Linked DNA regions of Mus musculus. The protein of the gene in region 1 interacts with the protein of each later gene in a pairwise test. Links are inferred from orthologs where the notes say so. Each region holds a gene or a part of one and is shown in the gene's direction. Other genes may lie near its edges.

Evidence for each region. The genes of interacting proteins can lie anywhere in the genome.
Region 2: the proteins of Trim63 (region 1) and Uqcrc1 interact in a two-hybrid assay, tested with the Homo sapiens proteins (2 studies listed by BioGRID and IntAct). The link is inferred for Mus musculus from reciprocal best matches to the Homo sapiens genes TRIM63 and UQCRC1.

What each region holds. Positions count from the first base shown.
Region 1 is NC_000070.6:134,324,992-134,327,643, forward strand, and holds part of Trim63 (E3 ubiquitin-protein ligase TRIM63), read left to right. Parts: intron 1-53; coding exon 54-76; intron 77-592; coding exon 593-717; coding exon of another isoform or gene 718-770; exon of another isoform or gene 771-1,038; intron 1,039-2,652. UniProt on the Homo sapiens protein: E3 ubiquitin ligase. Mediates the ubiquitination and subsequent proteasomal degradation of CKM, GMEB1 and HIBADH.
Region 2 is NC_000075.6:108,935,196-108,939,554, forward strand, and holds the start of Uqcrc1 (cytochrome b-c1 complex subunit 1, mitochondrial precursor), read left to right. Parts: upstream 1-1,452; 5' UTR 1,453-1,523; coding exon 1,524-1,592; intron 1,593-1,820; coding exon 1,821-1,961; intron 1,962-4,359. UniProt on the Homo sapiens protein: Component of the ubiquinol-cytochrome c oxidoreductase, a multisubunit transmembrane complex that is part of the mitochondrial electron transport chain which drives oxidative phosphorylation.

The sequences.
Region 1 (2,652 bases):
TGGAGTCCACCCTTGGAGGCTTCAATGTTAACCTCTGTTGTTTCTCTCCACAGAGTGCCAAGCAGCTCATCAAGAGGTCAGTGTCCCCAGGAGTGGGTCCCTCGTTCCTAGTCAGTGTCCCCAGGAGTGGGTCCCTCGTCCCTAGTCAGTGTCCCCAGGAGTGGGTCCCTCGTCCCTAGTCAGTGTCCCCAGGAGTGGGTCCCTCGTCCCTAGTCAGTGTCCCCAGGAGTGGGTCCCTCGTCCCTAGTCAGTGTCCCCAGGAGTGGGTCCCACGTCCCTAGTCAGTGTCCCCAGGAGTGGGTCCCACGTCCCTAGTCAGTGTCCCCCAGGGCTTCTGACACCTGCCCAGTAGGACCCTGTGCATCCGTTCTGCAGGGATTGGGGCTCACCTCCCCCCTTCCCAGACCATGTCCCCTACTTTCTTAGACATGCACTCTGCTTGATCCTAAAGAAGAAATGCTCGCTGCCTCTTTACTCCCTCACTTCAGGGATGGATTGTGGGGCTGGGATGGATGGACCCACATAGAGCCAAGGCTAAGCTGTCCCTTCCTGCATGGAGCCCTGAGACCTCACCCTGCCTCTCTCCCCACAGCATTGTAGAAGCCTCCAAGGGCTGCCAGCTGGGGAAGACAGAGCAAGGCTTTGAGAACATGGACTACTTTACTCTGGACTTAGAACACATAGCAGAGGCCTTGAGGGCCATTGACTTTGGGACAGGTAAAGGATGTGATGTTACATGTTTGACCTTTGAAAGGCAGCGTTCCTCTTGAGTTCTGAGGGGAACTGTTAAAAAAGTCAAATTTACACAGCCAGTGTTGACAGGTCTCTCTATGGAGCCCTGACTGTCTTAGTAGTGTCTAAGTAGACCAAGCTGGTCTGGAACACATAGAGATCTATCTGCCCATCTCTGCTTCCTGAGGGATGAGATAAAAGGCATGTGCCCACCATGCCTGGCTCCACAGACAACTTTGTGATGGATCCAGGGTCTGGCACAGTGCCTGGTACATAATTGTTACAAAATAAATTATGTGTGGATCCAAAGCTCATGACATCTGGCATTAGACAGATCTGTCTTCAAATCCAGATTCTGCCATTTGTGTGTTATCCGTGTGACCTTTGGCACTCCCCCAAGCCCCTGCCTTTGTGGTCTCCTGCTTTGGCTGGGTTTTTGGGAGGATCTATTACTGGTACTCCAACCCAGGCCTTGGAGTCTTAGACTTAGCACCTAGGAAGTTTAGGCAGGAAGATGGCGAGCTGGAGGTTAGCCTAGGCTACATAGTCAAAAGGATATTCAAGACAGGTTGTACTGTGTGAACATACATGCTGAAGGCTCACACTACCCACCCCTTAGCCCCAGCAGGGAGACCATGCCAACAGCGATTCTTGAGGCCATTCATGAAGACCAAGCTGGCCTCAAATTCGCAGGAACCTGATGGCCTCTGTCTCCTGAGTGCAGGCAATAAAGGCACGGGCCACTACATTTAGCCCCGAGCCCATTTATTGGTTGGACTTTCCATGCTCTGAGCACTGAGACTCAGATGTCAAGTTGGAAAGATGGAAATTCCATCACTTAATATAGTTTTGGGATGCGGCTCAGTTTATAGCTTAGAAAACTGATTTTTGACAGAGCAATCCCTTGTTCAAAGCCACACGGCTAGTAAGTAGCTGGTGCAGACCTCACCTGGGGGCCCCTTGGCTTACAAGACTCTCTGAGGACACCTGAGACCATGTGAAGACACCATGGGACCTGCCCATAGTGATTCTCTGGGGGAAAACTATTCTGAGCAGTAATTATGGTTTAAATTAAACAGGCTGCCTGCATTGTTGAGATTATGTGTGGGTCCTGCATGTTTAGCTGGAGGTCTTACTTGACAGTTTTGTTGTTTTGCTTTTTTGTTTGTTTCTTGAGACAGGGTGTCACCATGTAGCCCAGGCTGTCCTTGAATTAGTGGCTATTCTCCTACCTTAGTTTCCTGAGTGCTGGGTTTCCACGCTAAAGCCATGGTAGGCATTCTAGTTTGTAGATAGCCTTGAGAAAGGTTGACTCTGCGATTCCTGGAGGCCCGGAAAGGCCTGGGGCAAGGGGCAGGGTCCAGTTAGGAAGGTTTGAAGGTCACACCCCAGGATGAGAAAATGAGAATCCAGGTTGTGGTGGTGGTAGTGGGGGGGTAGGGGTGGTGGTGGGAGGTGGGGGGATGGGATGGGGACATGAGACTGTCCCACTCTCCTGAACAGAAACCCCACCCCCAACCCCTGGCCACCCTAAGACTGCCTCTCTGTGGACCTAGGAATCAGGCAAACAAGGAGATGCTGAGCCAGCAGATTTCAAAGGCCGAGCAAATTCCTTTCAGTTGAGGACTCTGATCCCTAAGAATAGGAAATGTTTGCCCTGCCTCCCCTTTGTGGTGTGTCTGTTCTGCTGAGATGCACAGAACACTAAGTGTGCCTCCTGCCTCCCGGAGGCCACAGTCATGCCAGGGATGAAGTGTGCTAATGTCCTGGAGCAAAAGGACTATGATCTGCAAGGAGGAGGCAGGGGATGTGGAGGCCGGACTCTGTGAGCTTGAATCTTAACAAGCAACTTCCCAGGTCCCTGCTGCCATTGAATGCCCAGTTGGGACCAGAAACGGGGACAGATGTCCCCTCTAGGCC
Region 2 (4,359 bases), on another chromosome or scaffold:
CCTCTCCTCCCATTGATGTCCGACTAGGCCATTCTCTGCTATATATGCAGCTAGAGCCATGAGTCCCACCATGTGGTTTCTTTGATTGGTGATTTAGTCCCAGGAAGCTCTGGGGAGTACTGGCTAGTTCATATAATTGTTTCTCCTATGGGGCTGCAAACCCCTTCAGCTCCTTGGGTCCTTTCTCCAGCTCCTTCATTGGGGACCCTGTGCTTCGCATCCAATAGATGGCTGTGAGCATCCACTTCTGTATTTGTCAAGCACTGGGAGAGCCTTTCAGGAGACAGCGTTATCAGGCTCCTGCCAGCAAGCTCTTGTTGGCATCCGCAATCGTGTCTGGGTTTGGTGGTTGTTTATGGGATGGATCCCCAGGTGGGGCAGTCTCTGGATGGTCATTCCTTTAGTCTCTACTCCAAACTTTGTCCCTGTAACTCATTTTTTATTGTTTTGTTTTGTTGAAACAGGGTTTCTCTGTGTAGCCCTGGCTGTCCTGGAACTCACTTTGTAGACCAGGCTGGCCTCGAACTCATGAATATATTTCTTAATGATTAATTTTTAATATTTTATGCTCTTTTACTATGCTTAACTCCCAAAGAATATTTTGCATGTTTTGAAACAATTTAGTATTCAACATTAGATATAGGATCCTCAGTTATGGATAGTATTAAATATTCATTAATGATATTTTAGGGTATGAAAGGATATGAATATAAAAGTTGAAAAAAATTTATGGATTATTTGATTCTCAAAGTACTCAACATTATTAATATGTTTGATGTATAAAATGCATTTAAATAATAAAAAATTAAGAAAAAAAGTAAACAAAAAGTTTTGAAATAATCACAAAATAGAAAAAACTTTTTTGCTTAGTTATTTTATTCCAAACAAGGAGCCCTATTCCACAAATTACCTCTACATTGTTCCTCTTTTCATACACACGTTTTTTTTCTTACGTTTTGGAGACACTGTCTTACACAACCCAGGGTAGTTTTGAACTCCTTACACAAGAGAGGAGGATGTCCTTGAACTCCTGATTCTTCTGTGTCTCCATTTCCCAAGTGCTATATATTTGGCAATATATTATTAAACGTCTTTCAAGTCAACCATTTAAGCATATTTTATTCTTTTAAACTAACTTTAGTGGACACCTTCTTGCACAGACAGGCAAGTGCTTTAGCCCTTGGGCTCAATTGTGCCTAGCCACTGCCCTCCAGGTTTCAGAGCTGCTGCTGGCGTACAATGCATCTCCCACAGTTGCATACCGCCTCCCTCAGGTGGAAGAAGGTGATGAATAGAACCTGTCTCAGATGGGACCAGATGAAGGGCCCCTCCCTCGCAGGTTGATAAATGTCCCGAAGATCCTAGAGGCACACGGACCAAATGACTACATGCGATCAATTCTTGCTAACGTACTTGCTGCCCAACAGGGGGCGACTGAGCACCAAGTCTTCCTTACAGCGCTTGCGCCTCAGACTCCGCTCTGCGCATGCGCAGCGCGGCTCTACACTGACGGAAGTTAGAAGATGGCGGCGTCCGCAGTCTGCCGAGCGGCCTGCTCCGGGACGCAAGTGCTACTTCGCACCCGCCGCTCGGTGAGGTGGCAGTGAGACGTTGGGCTGCAGGGCCCAGGGCTTTCGTACACAGATGAGGAGCAGGCTGTCTCAGCAGTGGCGGGTCGGAGTGGGGAGGTCGCGGGGGTCAGGGCCGTGGGAAGGTCATGGCGGAGGGCGGGGATGGTTATCTGCTCTGGCTTGGGTTTGAGAGCCGAGGTCCCAGAGGCTTGGCGAGCAGTTCTTGCAATGGTCGCCTTCTCCCTTTAGCCGGCCCTGCTGAGGTTACCTGCCTTGCGGGGTACCGCAACCTTCGCCCAGGCCCTCCAGAGCGTGCCGGAGACCCAGGTCAGCATCTTGGACAACGGGCTGCGTGTGGCCTCGGAGCAGTCCTCGCATGCTACCTGCACGGTAAGTGTGCGCCAGTCCTCTAGGTGAGGCCCGCCGTGTTGTCCCAGGTTGGGATGTGACCTTGGGCTCCAGTCTTACATGTTTTGGGTGGAGACTGGCTTACTGCCGGGGCTTATCCCTGTACCTGACTTCAACCCTGCCTTAACCCGGCAGCCAACATTATGGTGCTTGCCAAAGACGGGGCCGAATTCTCTCCTCCAGCTTTTCGTTCTACCTCCCCGAGAGAAGAGATTATTCTCTTGCCACGAAAAAGAATGAGATTTCACAGACTTTAGGTTATTTACAGAAAGACATCCAGGTCTGTTAGACTCACCACCTAGGCTATGTAATTTGTAGACGTAGCCAGGAATACACTTCAAGAAATGCCTCTGAAGGACGGGGAAGATGGCCCAGTGGGTAAAGAGCTTGGTACTCAAACATGGGTATCTGAATTTGGAGTCCTCAGTGTTGTGATTTAGGTCTAACACCAATACTCTGAGGGGTGGAGACTAGTGTGTCTAAGCCGGTCTTACTTTTACCTACACGAGTGGCTTACATGTGTGTATGTGCACCATGTCTGTACATAATGCCCTTGGAGGTTGGAAAAGGATATTAGAACCCCCAGAGGGCTGGTGAGATGGCTCAGTGGGTAAGAGCACCCGACTGCTCTTCCGAAGGTCCGGAGTTCAAATCCCAGCAACCACATGGTGGCTCACAACCACCCGTAATGAGATCTGATGCCCTCTTCTGGTGCGTCTGAAGACAGCTACAGTGTACTTACATATAATAAATAAATAAATAAATAAACAAATCTAAAAAAAAAAAAACAGAACTGGAGTTACAGGTGGTTGTGAGCCACCGTGAGGGTGCTGGGAATTGAACCTGGGTCCTGTGGAAGAGCGGTTCCTAACCCTACACAGTCTCACCATCCCACGTACACATACGTAAAAATAAAAATTTTTTTTCTCCTTTTTTTTTTTTTTTTTTTTCTTTTTTAAGATAGGGTTTCTCTGTGTCGTCCTGGCTGTCCTGGAGCTCACTCTGTAGAGCAGGCAGGCCTCGAACTCGGAGATCCATCTGCCTCTGCTCCCCAAGTGCTGGGAAGAAAGGCATGAGCCTCCAATGCCTAGCTCAGAAGTAAGGATTCTTAAAACAAAAAACAAAAGATTTAGAGTAATCAGAAAAAGCACCCAGTTTCCTCTGCCCTCCGCAGATATTTGTGTGGTGGAGTGTGCACACGCATGTATGTGTGGCACTTGCACACACGAAAGAAATGCCTCTGAAAGACTGGGAAATGTAACTTGGGTGGAGCCTTTGCCTACTGAGTGGAAAGCCATGAGCTTTATAGCACTGAAGGAAGACAAAGAGTACCTTTGAAGATTACAGTGAATTGGATGCTCTTTGGTTAGGAGGGCTGGCCGCTCTTGCACAGGACCAGATTTCAGTTCCCAGCACCTTTATTGGGCAACTTCTAACCACCTGTAACTCCAGCTCCAGGAGATCTGACACTTTCTTCTGGCTTCTCTGGGTACCTGTGTACGCTGGTACACAGAAACACAAATACTTTATTTAAAATTGCAAATTGGCCAGGAGAATTGACTCTGGTTTATAGTACTTGTTCTCTTTCAGAGGACCTGGCTTCAATTCCCAGCACCCACGCAGTGGCTCACAGCCAGCTGTAACTCCAGTCCCAAGGGATCCTGTACCCTCTATGGATCTGACCTCCATAGGCACGCATATACATACACGTAGGCAAAACACTCATCCACATAAAATAATGAATGTAGAAGTTGGAAATCTTCAAAATGGAGTCAAGAATTGAAATCTTTACTAGGTGTGTGAGAAAACTCCCAAGAACCAATCCTCCCAACACACTTAGTAGGGCTAAATTGTTTTGTTTTATAGTTTTTTAATACAGAGTTTCTCTATGTAGCCCTGGCACTCTAGTGTTCTGGCACTCTCTGTAGATCAGGTTAGCCTCAAACTCACAGAGATCTGCCTGCTCCTGATTCCTGAATGTTATGAGTAAAGGTGTGTGCACCACTGCCTGCCTAGGGTTATATGTTTTTGTTATCTGATTCTTTCCTTTTTCTAGGAACAAATAATGACTTGTGATATAATTGTTATCAAACATAGGATATGGCGGGAGGTAATTTCCTTGATGTGTGGAACCTACATGAGTAGACTCAGAACCTACTAATGAAGCTTAGGAAGTCCTGCTCTATTCCACAGGTGCTGTGGTACCGTGATTATGCTTCCATTACAAAGAAAGGATGGTTAAAAGTCAAAGGATACTGTGGGTTGTAGACTAAGATGATAGACTTAAGGTGAAGGTTTGGGGCTAGAGAGATGGCTCAGTGGTTAGAGGCACTGGCTGTGCAATCAGAAGAGCTGGAGTCCACAGCCCAGCGCTTAGGGG